Linked DNA regions of Lonchura striata. The protein of the gene in region 2 purifies or fractionates together with the protein of the main gene of each other region. This does not show direct contact. Links are inferred from orthologs where the notes say so. Each region holds a gene or a part of one and is shown on either strand. Other genes may lie near its edges.

Region 1 (7,532 bases), on a different chromosome or scaffold from region 2:
CACCACTCAAAACAAGCTACACCTTCAACACCCCACCTTCCTCCAAAAGCTTCAAATAAGGGAATTATCTGGGAACATTCCTGCTGTAAAAAACCCCGCAATTACCCTAACATTAACTAATGAGGAAGAAGGGATGATTCGTACCTGCTTACAAACAAAGCCCAGCCCACGGGAGGAACTCCCATCACGTCAGAGGCAGCGCAGCTTAATGGTGACATCAGTGCAGGACTTCGTCCTGTCTCAGATCCGAGCCCCGCAGGAACTGTCCATGCATGGCAGCCATCGAAATTCTTTGGCTTTCAAGGATTACATACTTTAAACGTAATTCAGTAACAAAAGTTTTAAAAAGTCAACAACCTCACCCTCAGGCTGGAATAAATGTTGAATCTTACCACAGCAAGCAAAGGGTCAGATTTTCAAACGTGCGATTTTTATTTTTTCCATGTTATTTTATACATATTTGGTGCAAATACCAAAAGGCTCATAACCCACTCGTATTTCCTAACATAGTTTGCTCAATACTATTAGAAAGCAGGTAAAAGACAAGTCCAACTGTGCAATTCCATTATCTGAATCCCTGAAACGTCTGCATTTTCTACCAGATGCTGCCCTCCATCCCATGAAACAGGCCTGCACTTGAGGTCCTAGAGACACTGGAGGAGTAACTCAAGCACAGAAGGCTCCTTGCCACCTGAGCTCTTTACAAGCCTGTGCTGCTCCCCTGGGAGAAGGCAGGAGAGCCATGGCAGCACACCAGGAAGGCACCCGGGATGCCCACTCAACACTCATGTATGGGTCTGAAACACAGCACAGAGCTGCCCTATGCATGTCTCCATCATTGACAGAACATGAGCTGCACTGACCTTCTCTGGCTCACCAGTCATTAAGATTTTACTCAGAAAAAATATTATTCCAAGTCATGAGAAAGGGGGAAAACACGAATTTTAATATATAGAGAACTAGAAGCTTATTTTGGGGTTCCCATACCATCAGTAGGAACTCTAGTCTGGGGTATAAAGTTTTATTTTCCATGACAAGAAAACAGGCTGACTGGAATTCAAGTACTATGGGGAATTGCCAGGGCAAGCTCAGAGCAGTTACCCAAAGTGAATAAACTAAACTAACAAAAGGATTGTGCTCCTGCTACTGCAAGCACAGTTGGGCTGTGCTGGCCCAGCCTTGTCAGCTGAGGCACAATTATTGATTTGGAATATCTAAATAAAGAGCTGTACATCACGGAGAGCCTTCAAAGCCCAGGCCACTCCACAGGAATGGTCCCTCCACCTCCCACACAGGCATTTCTTTCTCTTCAGAATTGCTCATTTTCATAGAAGGAAGATGACTCCTCTGTGATATTAATTGAGGTGCTGTTAAATAATGCATTAGCAACAAGTAGTTCTAGGAATGTCTTGAATCCTGCTCCATAATATGCACTTGAGGGACAATCCCTGTTCATTAGGGCTACACTTCTCTGTACAAACACCAGAACACACCACATGGCTGATTCCCTCGATGTATTTTAAATCAAGGAAAACACACAGCAGGGAAAACAGTAAACCTGGAGTTCTGGGCTGAGGAAACAAGTGATTTGGGTTTGTAAGCACATCATACTGACTCTTTTCAACCTTATAAGAGCATAAATAGAAGACTTCACCATCATAGTACTAACTTAGCCGGTATTTGAAATAACAGCTACCAGATATTCCTGTGCTTGCTGGTTAAAACCACATGAAAAATGAACACTCTAAAAGAAATCATCCTCATTCAAGTAGAGACCAACCTTACACTCTCCAGAAGTTCCAGCACTATGATGCGTTACCCTTAGACATCCACACAGCTCAAGTCCTGACTGCTTCACCTGCACTGCTGCTGTAAGACCTCACTAGCAGGAAAGGAGGGGACAGAACACTTCAAAAAACAACCAGAGAGATCCATGTGTCCACCAATGGAAAACACATTCCCACGTGGATGCACTTACAATCTGCCTAGGCAATGAAAAAGGTGTTTCAGCGCAACATTTATTAAACTAACGGTGATACTCCAACTCATACTGTACATCCAGCAGTTTTACAACTGGAAGTTATTACAAATATAAAGCAGAACAAAAAAAAAAAAAAATCTAATTTTTCTCAGAATATCTAAGTTTTGTCAGAAAAACTTTGCCTAACCAGCAAATAAAAATTAAAAATAGAAGAGACGTGGATACACGCATGGGGGAATTTACAGAGCTGGGCAAAGCTGTGAGCACCTGACAGAGGTGATCTCTGCGGGAACACACAGGTACACACTCCTGAAACATTGCCAGGGTAAAAGTCTCCCGGGGCCTCTAAGAGAAGGCAAACTCCACTTTCGGATAAGCCAGCCAGGGCTCACCTCTAGCTCTACTGTGAGCCTATGCTGTACCGCACAACAAGCTGCAGAAAGACATAATCATTAGGGGAAAAAAGGTAACTACAGAAACAGTCACTAACAAACGCACTCACCGCAATTCGGACAAAGAGAAGGTCTCGAATTATCACAGGACTTTCAGGGTTGGAAGGGACCTCTGGAGATCATGTAGCCCACTCCCCAAGAATGTCTCTAAATACCTCTTTTGGCCCAGTGATCCCACACTTTCCCTAGAGCACATATTTGTCTGTACGTCTTTCATTCTGTCCAGAAACTCAGGGGTCAACTCCACTTACCTGTTTTTTTTTTAAAGCACTTCAAAACCATTTACATTTCGCGCCCGCAGACAGCGCACCCAGCAAGCGACCCCAGCGCTGGGCAGCGGGGCCGGGGGAGGGAGCGCCGGGCCCGCGGCCTGCGGAGCGCTCAGGCCCGGCGGGGCCGTGCCCGGCGGCCCCTCGGGCAGGTGAGTCAGCAGCCGTCCCCATCCCGTCCCCGCAGCGACACCGCGGCCGCGCGGGGCCGGCCCGCTCCTTCCCCCGCGCCCGCGGCCCTCGGGCGGCGGCAGCTCCCACCTTGCTCTTCACCTCCATGGTGCCCAGGCCGCGGCTGCCCGCGGCGCCGCGCGGAGCCCGGCTCATGCCGCGCGCGGTCGCTGCTCTGGCTCCTCCGTCCGCCGGAGCGCCGCGGGACGGGCGGCGGCGCGGCCCAGCCAAAGCCCGGCACCCGCGGCCGCTCCGCCGCCTCCGCCCTCAGCGCGGCCGGGCCGGGGCGGGGCCGCGCGGCTCCGGCACCTGCCGGGCACCGGGGCGGGGCCGCGCCGCGCCTGCGCCGCCTCCGCGGGCCGCACCTGCCCCGCCGCGCAAGATGGAGGCGGCGGGGCGGGGGCCGTGAGGGGCCGTGAGGGGCCGTGCTGCTGGCCCGCAGCGGGTCCGGGCCGTGAGGGGCCGTGAGGGGCCGCGCTGCTGTGCTGCTGGCCCGCAGCGGGTGCGGGCCGTGCCTCTGCTTCTCTCCCCGCAGCGGGTGCGGGCCCGTGCGGGGCTCTGTGCTCCTGTCCCCGCAGCGGGTGCGGGCCGTGCCGCCGCTCCTGTGCCCGCAGCGGCCGCGGCTGTGCGCGCACGGGGCCGGAGCGCGGCTCGGCTCCCGCTGCTTCCTCAGGCACCTCCCGCCCCGGGGAGCCGCCATCCCGCGGCTCCGCATCCTCCCGCGGCCCTCGGGAGCCTCCACGGCGAGCTCCGGCTCCCCCACAGCCCTGCGGAGCCAACCTAACCCTCCCACAGCCCCGGGAGCCTCCATGGCGATCTCGGGGTCTTCCGCATCCCTGAGGAGCCAACCAGACCCTAACCCACAACCCCAGGAGCCTCCATGGCGAGCTCTGGATCCTCCACAGCCCTGAGGAGCCAACCCTGGCCGTGGCGAGCTTTGGGTCCTCCACAGCCCCAGGAGCCTCCATGGCGAGCTCTGGGTCTTCCACATCCCTGAGGAGCCAACCCTAACCCACAGCCCCAGGAGCCTCCATGGCAAGCTCTGGGTCTTCCATAGCCCTGAGGAGCCAACCCTGGCCATGGCAAGCTCCAGATGCTCCACATCCCTGAGGAGCCAACCCTAACCCACAGCCCCAGGAGCCTCCATGGCGAGCTCTGGGTCTTCCATAGCCCTGAGGAGTCAGCTCTAGCCATGGCGAGCTCCGGATCCTCCACAGCCCTGAGGAGCCAGCTCTAATTCTCCCACAGCCGCGGGAGCCTCCATGGCAAGCTCTGGATCCTCCACAGCCCCGAGGAGCCAGCCCTAATTCTCCCACAGCCGCGGGAGCCTCCATGGCGAGCTCTGGATCCTCCACAGCCCCGAGGAGCCAGCCCTAATTCTCCCACAGCCCCAGGAGCCTCGTGCTGCGCTGCTGCTCCTCCGCAGCCCTGCGGAGCCGCATCCCGCGGCCCAGTGCCCCTCACAGCCCCGGAGCCCCCGGGTCAGGCTGCCCTGGAGGCTCCGAGCCCTCAGACATGGAGCGTGGGGATGGACTGGATGATCTCCAGAGAAAGATCGTTTCCAGTCCCAGTGATTCTGTGATTCAGGGATCCTGGGATCCCACGGATGTAACACGCAAACCGCACCAGTGCTAGCTGATGTTTGCATGTTACATAAATAAACCTTGGTCAGGCCAAAAGTGTGACGTCTCCCTCTCAGGATGTGGCTTTATGTCCATCCTGAACGTAAAGCTGTTCATGGAGCTTGTTTTCATTTTGGTCACAAATAAGATTGCAGGATCTGGTAATGTCAGAGCTAACTTTTAAATTTCATTTAAAGGCCAGTTAAGCTACCCTGACAAAAGTACAAGGTTTAGAAAAAGATTGTAAACTGTCTGAAAATAAATTACTTCTCACGTGTATGGACAAGAAGAAAGCATGTACATTAATCTCATTATGTCAACAGACCTTTGAATTACAGGTCTCTCCATTATCTATGAACCTGGTGGAAGAGAATGCCGTGTGAGGTTTCATCATGTGTGGATGCCAGTGATGGTAGCTCAAACAATGCCTTGCACCTGAGGCACGCCACGGGTGTCTAGTCCTCAAGTCTCAGTTGGTAATCAGTAATTAAATAAAATGCATCCAGTGCTGAATCACTTCTAAGTCGGTGCTGATTTTTGTACAGTTGATCTTCCTCCCATCACGCCAAAGGCAAAGGAATTGCAGCTCTCACTCGAGCCAAGACAAGCTGTAATTAGCACAGAGGATATTGTTAATAGTTAAATATAGTTTGCTGCCAGACGGTGTCTAGGCTGATTCAAATCTTCTCATCCTTTATCCAGCATGTTTTGGTTTTACACTGCAGAAGGACACGTAGAGAATTCAACCTGTAAATTCAGATAGAATCTGTGATCCTGGTGCAGTAGAAGGAAGATTACAGCTCTGAGAGCAAGACCAGGATAAAACCTCTTATTCTGTCACTTTGTAATTATAACATTGAAAAGAGTTTGGACTGCTTTCCATATCTGTCTTCTACAGCTCTGTTTAATGAGCTGAGCACAGAGAAGAGTGCAAGAGACAAGGGAACAGTGATTTCTCTGGGGCTTTAAAGCTGCTGGGTTGGCTCTTTTCTCCTGGAGAAAGGGAGGAAAAACCTCCTGAAGCTGATTTCTGCTTGGAGCTGTTGTGCAGTTAATTTTACTGCTATAGATTTATGAGGTATCGCCTAAGATAATTTGTTTTCTATTGTGCATTCCTAGCATGGCTGGAGTGCCAGGCAGTGGGTGTGGGAGCGAGCCTGAGGAGTCAGGGCAAATTCATTTCAAGTCACTGGAACCAACCTAATAAAATGTATTAATCACTGGCTGGCTTTCATCACAAGGAGCTGACGTACGAGGAAGGAATGTGATAAACAATTTGATCTCAGATAAAGGTGGGGAGTGAGGCAGGCTCTTTGTAAGGTAAGCTTATAGAGCTATTTTAGTCACAAGTTCTGTACAACCTGTGATTCAGACCTGGTCAAGCTATTCACGGCACGTTCAGTTTCTGTGAAGTTGAAAGACAGGTTGGGTTTCCTGATCTCTGAGCAGCTGGGGAAGCTTTTTTGGGAGGCCTTTTTCTCCCCATTTGTTTGTTTTTGTGTAGAAATTCCATCACTTAGGTCCACCATGCAGTATAGTGAGATTGTGCCAAGATGTTGGTTTCCTATTCCAGATTTCTGAGATTTTAAGTGGAATTGTATTCCATACAGCCCTCCTGGGATTTCAGAGAGTATTTCCAAGAATAAAGCACAGAAAATTGCTGTCAGCATAGGTTAACTATATTGATGATCCACCTAATCTTTTATTACATAGTTCAGGGCTTATGCTGATTTCATATTTAACATAAAGTAGTCTTTATTTACACTGTCAGTGCCAGCTCAGAGGAGTGATTGTTAGATGCACTAGATTGTAATCTGAGCTTGTCTTGGAGTTGATGAGAGACTGGAGAGTTTTTTATGGGTAGAGAAAACTAAAGGGGAAAAAGAGAAGCTTTATTTTCAAAATGTTAATAAAATTCTGCTTTCTTTCAAAAATAAATCCTGTACTTACAGGCTTTCTTTTTGATACCTTCTGCAATTTTGATACATTAATGTTGTGTCCCAGTTACATTTCCCTACAAAGAAGCATTTTCAACAGTAGTGTGTGCTCTTGGATACTCCATTTTCACAATATTAGGGACCAGCGTGACCTCAAATTGCTTTTGGCCTCTCCTTGATAAGTGAGTGCTGGAGACAAACCAGTGCTGTCATGGGGGCGTCTGATGGTCACAAATACAAAATTATTGTAGAGCACTACTTCCCACGAATCCATAAAATCCATTGAATACTCTCTGCTGATAGTGCTGATCCCGAGGCAGGATGTGAGCTCACAAGTGCTGCATCAGAGAGGAAGAATTTGAGAAGGGGAGCTTGTTACCCTTTATCTCCATGGAACACACTCCACACCAACAGCTCTACACAAAAACAGCAGCAAGGCTCAGCAAGAAAACCCCAGGGCATGGCAACGTAGCTGCTTCATTAATAACAGCAGTATTTGAGTAGCACTTGTGTAATAAAAATTTTATTTCTTACACTGAAATTGTGGCAGTTACAGGATTTTAATTTGGGATGGGTTTTTTGTTTATCTGTTTGTTTGAGTTTTTAAAATTTTATTTTACTGAGGGGGGAAACAATAGTTGGGTTAGTAATAAGTTTTTGTGTTCTGTTTCTGCCTTTGCTTTCTTCTTTCCTGTCAGGAAAACTAGCAGCAATTTTTCTTCTCCACTCCTCCTCCAGGAACCTTTAGTTGTTACTTTGATGCAATATTTACTTACCTGTCTGTGACAAAATGAATTGATTGTTTTTCAAGTTCATATATAAGATCTTTTCCGATAAAATATTTATAGTTTCCTGGGGTTGGGGGGGGTCTTCGTTGGTTTGTACTTTTATTTTGTCTGCCTTTATGGGAAAGGTTGTCTTCATACCATGCTGCCTGTGAAAGAAACATTTGTTTCAGGTGTGTTATAAATCCAGTTATAAACTTGGTCCAGCAATAAACTCGTGAAGTTTTCTGAAAACCCCTTCCTAGCAAGTCGAAAGCTGATATTGATACATTCATTTAAATTCTCTGAGGTTTCTAACTAAAATAATGAAAAGCT
Region 2 (7,367 bases):
TGCTTTCTCCTGGCTTATTCCTGCCTGTGTTCCTGGGTTAGGGAGTTTTCTGGTTGCTACAGGAAATGCTGAGAAGAATCAGGCATTCAGCCCCGTGGAGTTGTGATAGAGCATCTGCCATCATCATCCTCTTCTCCCACCTGGTTTGTGTTAGCCCAGACCAAAGCCTTGGTGTTTGCAAAGTTTGGGGCCCAATGCCATATTTAGAGCTGTACTTTTAAGGAAAAACTTCCTCCAGTTGATTCTTTGAACCCAAGTGTTGGCAATTGTAAGGAGTAGTCTTATTTTTAAATTTTTACTGCTTTGCCCTCCTTCCAATTGTAGTTTTTCTTAGTGTCGTGTCCCCCACACACTTCATGGTCTGCACGCTTGGCAATAAAAAGATGTAATATATTTTGAAACTTGTTTGCTGCTGGCTTGAGGGGCTCCTGGTCTAAAACAACCACCCTGGCATTGTTCCCTGCAGTGCTGATCGAGGACATTTGCTGACATCTGGGTCCCGCTGTCCTTTTCCTTCCCTGCTGATTTTTTTCCTGGTGTTGGGGTTCTGCTCAGGCTGGATCTTGTCACATGAGCTCAGAGGATGTTGCCATCACTTCAGCACAGTGCTGACTGTGGGGGTGTTGGTGAGGTCCCCAGTGCCTGTCTCTGATTATCCACTGGTTTTCCTGGCACAGCCTCCAAAGGAACGTGTCTTGTCAGTCCAGAGATCCAAAAGTTTGTGCTTCTGCTGCTTGTGAAACCTTGAAAATGCCGTTTTCAGACCACACATAGCATTTGAAGCAGTGTTCCTCACCCTCCCAGCTTTCTGCTGTGAATCCAGGCCAGCTCTTGGCTACAGACCCCCTGTTTTGGGCAGCTTGGCATTCCCCTGACAGCAAAACCGCACGCAGAGAGCAGAGATCCCTTCTCCTCCTGATGGCTTTGTCTTTCTGCATCCATCCTGGCCATGCCCTGTTCCAGTCATGGTGCCAGGCTCTGCTGTAGGCACAGATGGTGACAGAGGTCTCAGCTCTCCCTTCCTGGCTCCCAGTTTTATCCCTGCCTCTCTAATATGGATGCTCTACCCTGGTGTCAACTCAAAATGAAGCTGGAGCAGCTTCCCAGAGCAGAACTTCCGTGGGATGAGGCGCTGGCTCTGTCTCTGGACATGCTGAGGTCTTGCACCTCTAGCCTGGTCCCAGCCACCAGCTCATCCCAGTCCTTGTGCAGGCTGTGCGTGTGCAAGATTCCTTTCCCAGCTTGTTTTGCTGTTCCTGCATGTCCTGCTCGGGAGCTTTCCCCTCCTTCCCCGTTCCCATCCATGCAGAGTGGCTGGGGGACAGGAGGATCTCCTCCCCAACCACGATCTGCTCTTGGTTTTTAACCTGAACTGGTTGGGGCTTGGCACCTTGGAGAGAGAGGGAGAGCAGGATCCCTCAGGAGGGGAGTCCCCAGCGTGCAGGCAGGGCCATCTTCCCACTTGTACAGACATTTTCTATAGACACGGATGTATATGTGTAGATAACATGGTTTTTTAACTCTTTTGCACTGAACAACATCGGAGTGAAACCTGGATTCAAAACCAGAAGACATTTTTCACACGGATCCAGAGGTCTGGATCCTTCCTGTAACCTGTCTGGTTGAAGCTGTGGCTCGGAATTCCCGGGTTTCGCTGTTGGGCTGCACGCAGGCAGGGGTCAGGCTGGTGCCATGGGGCTGGGGCTGAGCAGGGAGTGGGGTGAGCTGGAGTTTGGAGGCAAAACTGCCCTGGGCCAGGCTCATGACAGCCCTGACCCTGCTGGTTTGTCGTGTGTCTGGTCTGGTTGTGTGTGGTCCAACCTCTCCATCCACCCACAGCGTGTCCGTGCTCAGCCCCAAACTGGGAGCTGCATCCAGTGTGACAATCCGTGTGCCCAGACCAGGAGAAACTGTCTTTGCTAAGGAAGGGGGAGGAAGGTGGGGTTCATCCCTGCTTTTCCACAAAGAACAGGAGGAATTGGGGTTTGTTGCTGGTACCGTATCTCGAGAAGGGTCAGTGGTGGAATTAGCCAAGCCCATGGATCAAAACATCTGCCAGGCTTTGAGGAGAACTCGGAGGGGGAGCAGAGTCTTAGACCCCCACCAGCAGCAAAGAGTCTTTTACCTGCCAAAAGTGTTCCCTTTCCCTGTTGGGAGGAGAAACATTCAGGTGAGAAATGTCTCTGCTCCTTCCCCTGCCCACACTTAGAAGTTTTGGCTGACTTTAATTTTTTGGGTTTTTTTTTAAAAGATTCTAATTTTTTTTTTGTTACCAATAAAAATAAAAATTAAAAAAAATAAAAAAGAAAGTGGCAATATTTTTTTCTGTAAGCTTTTCCTAGGAAAAAGCGTGGTTTGTAACAAAGTTGTACAGTTCTGAAGTTTGAGATACGAGAAGTACTGTGTGAAACGCTGTAAATGGAGCAGAGATTATTTTATGTACAGTCTGACGTGGGGGAATCTTTTAATTCCAATTGATTCTTAGGAAGAATTTGGTTCTTCACTGTCAGGGTTTGGAATTTCATGGTTTCATTATTATTTTTTTTTTTCTTGTATAGATTGCTGCATTAATTGAATAAAAGCAGGAAGCATCTCTTGGCCTGGCTGTGTGGTACTGGGGGCTGGGACGTGCCTCGATTCCCCCTGGCAGGAGCGAGGTGGTTTGGAGCAGGGAAATGGTTCTAAATAAAGGGAGTCACCGGCTCCCCGGGGACAGGGTGGCCAAATGGGGTGGCTGTGCTGTCCTAGAAAGCAGGGACAGGGATCTCTGCCTTCCTCCCCTTGCTGCCAGCACCCTGTGCTTCGGCCTCGTGCTGAGCCCCTCATCCTCCTGGTGCCTCCCTCCTGCGAGAGGAGACGGGGTGGGTGTGCGGTGCCAGAGAGGGGATGGATGGGATCTGCTGCTCTGTGGCCTTGCTTCTTCCTCCTCTTTTCCTTTCCTCTTTCCTTTCTCTCCCTTTCGCTCTTTCTCTCCTCTTTCTTTCCCTCCCTCCCTTTCTCTTCTTTCTCTCCTCTTTTCTCTCCTGCTCTCCTCCCTTCTCTCCTATCCTCATCCTCCTCTCTCCAATTCTCCTCTCTTCTCCCTCCTCTTCCTCTCTTCTTCACACCTCTTTAGCTCTTATTCCCTCTCCCCTTTCTCTCCCCTTTCTCTCCCCTTTCTCTCCCCTTTCTCTCCCTCTTCTCCCTCCTCTTCCTCTCTTCTTCACACCTCTTTAGCTCTTATTCCCTGTCCTCTTTCTCTCCTCCCCTTTTCACTACCCCCTTCTTGCTCCCATCTGTTTTCCTTCTTCCTCCTTTGACTTTTTCCTCCTTTTCCCTCTCTTGGGAGCAGACCCAGCCTCCCCACGCTCGGTCCCGGGGCTGTGCCGGCGCTTCGGGCCCCTCCATCCCTGCGTGAGCCCATCACCGGGGCTCGGTTCCCCGCTCGCCCGGGGCTGTTTTCCGCCCCAAACCCTGCACCGCCCCGCAGCCGCATCTCCCCGGGCCGGGGTTAGTCAGCAGGGAGGGGAAGCCGTGCCCTGCCCGGGCTGACTCACCCCAAAACTGGGTGCAGGGCAGGCTGCACCCCCTCCCACCTGGGGATGGTGCCGCGGGGGGAGTGGGGAGCAACATTCCCGGTGCCCTAGCGGGAATAATGAGTCGCCAGCCGGGAATGAGGCTCGAGTGCTCATTCCGGGAGCCGCCAGGATGCTCCGGGCCTAGCAGCCGGGGCGCCGCCATGTTGATGCACCCCATGGCTGTGGGGCACACCATGAGACCCTAAATCCACGACGCCCCATGTTTGTGGGGGCTTTGGGACCACCGTGACCAAGCTTGGGGTATCCTCGCTGTCTCTCACTATGCCCACGGCGAGGGAAGACGCCGAAAGAAGAGGATTTAAAAAAGAATACAAATAAACCCAGCGCAGAGGGCGTTGAGTTAGAAGACTACATCTCCCATCGGCAGCCGCGGCGGCGCAGGCGCAGCGCAGGTGGGCGGGGCCGCGGCGCGCGGCGCGCGTTGCCGCGCGGTGATTGGCGGGCGGAGCTGTCCGTCAGGCGCTCCGCCCCGCCCCCGCCGCGGCGGTGCTTGCCCGGGCTCGGCGGGCGCGCGCACCGGGACCCCGCACCGGCACCGGGGACCCCGCACCGGCACCGCGCCCCCTGCCGGCCCCGCCCCGCGCCGCGCCCCGCCGCCGCCACCGCCGCCCCGGGACCGGCCCCGGGACCGCCGGCCGCGCCCGCCCCGCCCGGTACCGCGCCGCCGCCACCGCCGCCGCCGCCGGCCCAACCATGATGAAGTTTCGGTTCCGGCGGCAGGGTGCCGACCCGCACCGCGACCGCCTCCGCCACGACCTCTTCGCTTTCAGCAAGGTGCGTCTAGGGCGAGCGGGGGGCGCGGCGGTGGATCCCGGGGGGCGGCGACCGCCGGGAGGCACCGGGGGTACCGGGCAGGGTGCGGCGTGCGGGCAGCCCCCCGGTGGCGCGGGGCTCTGGTACCCCCGCGGGATGCCGCCCGCGGGGAGGCGAGCAGAGTGCGGGGCACCGCCCCCCGGGACCGGCTGAACCCCCGGGGGAGCCGCGCACCGGGACCTCCCCGCTCCCGGGGAAGGGGCACGCGGGAACGGCGGGGCTGCCTGGCCCGGGGATCCCGGGACGGGCTGCTGGGCCGCCCCGGGAGGATGCACACCGGGGGTGGGTACCGGGAGCCCCCGGGTGCGAGATGCGCCCCGGGGTGCGGACCGGGGGGCTGCGCTCCTCCCCGTGCGGTGCAGGGGGGCACTCCGGGAGAGGATGCGACCCCCTGAGCAGCGCGACATCCCGGTCCCCAGCCCCTCCTGGGGGGGCTCCCGGAGCGCCCCGGTTCCCGCACTCCCCCCTGTCCCGTGGATCCCCCGAGGCCTCGCTCGCGGGCGTTTTGGGGTGACCCGTGGTCCCACACCCTGTCTGGCCTTGGAGCATCCCTGGCTGCATCCCCCATGTGGGGCTCAGCCCCCCACTCCCGTCTCCCCAGGGGTGGGATACTGGGGGGCTGGACCCCCTGTGTCAGCCGGAAGGGCTGTGCCAATGACCCCCTGGGCTTTTGGGGTGCCCTGGCACCCCAAAGATGCGTCTCTGTGGGGACATGAGAGGTCAGCTCTTGCCCCCCTCCTCCCTCCGAGTTTTACCACTTGCCTCCTTCATTTGGGGTGGGAGCGACCCCCAAGCTCATCAAACAAGCCCTGAGGTGCCAGACCCTTCCCTCGGGACACCGGGCTGTGCCTGGGACTTGGTGCACCTTGTCCTGGAGGCGCCGTGGTGGCCTTGGGACCGTGCTGCTGCCCTGCCCGCGGGGCATGAGACCACCGGCAGTGCCCCCTGGATGCGCCCAAACCGTGCCCGTCTCTCCGTCATTCGGCCGCGTCCCGGCACTGCCGTGGGGTCCTTGCCCAGCTCCTGCTGGGGACGCACCGGGGCGACCCCCGGCTGTCCCACAGCGGGGTCGGGTGTGCAGTGCTGAGGGGTCAGCGCCCCGCACAGCCCTGGCCCCCCAACTCTCTGCCGTGGATCCGGCCGGGGTGCAAGGCTCAGCCCAGCCTGAGCCCCCCTGTTTTTGGGGAGCACAGTCCCGCGGCCGGATCCTGCCCGAACGAGTGCCCAGGGCGGGTGTGAGCAGTGGGATGTCCTGGGGGGAGGCTGAGGAGAGCCCCTCTCCGGCCGTCCCAGCCCTGGGGCCGCGGGCTGCCCACCTGCCTCCCATTAAGGGTTGTTTTTCCTCCCGAGCTCCAGATCTGCCTGGGATTTGCTGTAATTTGGCCGGGAGCGCGCCTTGGCCGGCCGGCACAGCCTGCCGGATGCGGCCCCGCTGCGGGCGGGAGCGGGGGCTGCGGCGGGGGTCCCTCCTTTTGGGACTGGGAGTGCTGGGGAGCTGCGACAGCGCTTTTTGGGGACTCTTTGCCCGTGTCACCGTGTTGGTTTCTGGCCTAAAGCATCGCTGTGGTGCTGCTGTCCCAGCTCCGTCCTCCAGCGCAGCGTGCATCCCGGGGGGATTCAGCATGACCCTGCGTGGGTGGGCACCCACGAGCACCCACTTCCTCGCCCCTTGGACGCGTTGGGACCCACTTGGATGGGCCGGGACGCCTGGGATGGGCTGGGGGCGTTTTCACGCTCCTGGAGGTGTCCCCTGGGAGGGGAGCAGGAGCTGGGGTGCCGCCGGCGGGTGCGCAAAGCCGCCCCGCTGCGCCTCTCGGATGCCCCAGACAAAGGGAGCGGGTCAGGATCCGGCCAGTCTGGCTCCGGCGGCCTCCGTATCGTCTGATCGCGCCGTCGCCGCTCCGCCGAGCTGCCCTCGGGAGCCCTGCGGTCCCCGCGCCGGGGCCGGGCCGGTGGGTGCCCCCCGCGTCCCCCCGCTGCCGGGGCAGCCCCTCCCCGGCCGGCGAGCCCGGGCACGCCGTTCGGCCGGGACTTCCTTGGGAAGGTGCCCTGGGGCCACGCGCGGCTCCGGCGGGGACGTCCCTGGCGCTGGCGGGTCCCGCTCGCCTGGTTCTGCCGCCCGGCATCGGGGACGCCCGGTGATGTCGCACTGGGGGTCCCGCTCGCCTCCCCTGGGGTGTCCCCACCTCCGAGGTTCAGAGCAGGGGGGTCCCACCCCCAAAGTGCCGGCGGGTGGTGGGGCAGCTCGTTCAAGGTCAGCCCTACCCCGCTGTGGCTGTTGGGCTGGGTTTTGGAGTGCTGGGTGGAAATTGGGTGAGGAGTGATGTCCCCTTTCCCCGGGGCCCTCCTTGGTGGCACTGGGGGACAGAGCAGCATCTTCGTGATCCCCCATCTCCGGGGTGATGCTCAGGCTGGTGCGGGATCGCAGCTGTGGGGGCGAGGGGGGCTGTGGAAGGTTTGGGGGTGTCCGAGGTGGGGGGGGTCCCGCTCTGACCTGCCTGTCCCCATGGCAGACGGTGGAGCACGGCTTCCCCAGCCAGCCCAGCGCCCTGGCCTACGACCCCGTCCTGCGTGTGATGGCCATCGGCACCAAGGCGGGAGCCGTCAAGCTGTATCCTTTTCCTCCCACATGAGCAGGAGGTAAGGACCTCCCGGACCCTCCCGCGTTCGCTCCTCCGGCTCTCCCCATCCCGGAGAATGCTTGGAGACGTGGCTGCGCTGCTTCTGGCCCATCCCGCAGCCCCCACTCGGCTGACGTCCATCCCTCCGTCCAGCTGTGCTGCAGCTGGAGGAGTGCTGGAGGAAACCCCCACCTCGCCCCAAAACGCCGGCGGGGGAAAGGGGCTCGGCCGTCCCGGGGGGAGCATCCCAAGTGTGGGGTCCTTCCTGCCGTTACCCCGCTTATCCCGGGGGGGCTCCTCTCCATCCTTCTCATCCACGCAGCCCCCGGGGGAGCAGCAGGGGCTCTGGCCGGCC

The links.
Region 1: the proteins of LLGL1 (region 2) and PARD6B purify together in Homo sapiens (affinity purification with mass spectrometry; 5 studies listed by BioGRID and IntAct, counting the BioPlex papers as one, with this or other methods). This does not show direct contact. The link is inferred for Lonchura striata from reciprocal best matches to the Homo sapiens genes LLGL1 and PARD6B.

Annotation. Positions count from the first base shown.
Region 1 is NC_134619.1:1,171,965-1,179,496, reverse strand, and holds the start of PARD6B (partitioning defective 6 homolog beta), read right to left. Parts: upstream 3,098-7,532; 5' UTR 3,030-3,097; coding exon 2,964-3,029; intron 1-2,963. UniProt on the Homo sapiens protein: Adapter protein involved in asymmetrical cell division and cell polarization processes. Probably involved in formation of epithelial tight junctions.
Region 2 is NC_134618.1:15,718,960-15,726,326, forward strand, and holds the start of LLGL1 (lethal(2) giant larvae protein homolog 1), read left to right. Parts: upstream 1-4,232; 5' UTR 4,233-4,271; coding exon 4,272-4,352; intron 4,353-6,904; coding exon 6,905-7,002; intron 7,003-7,367. UniProt on the Homo sapiens protein: Cortical cytoskeleton protein found in a complex involved in maintaining cell polarity and epithelial integrity. Involved in the regulation of mitotic spindle orientation, proliferation, differentiation and tissue organization of neuroepithelial cells.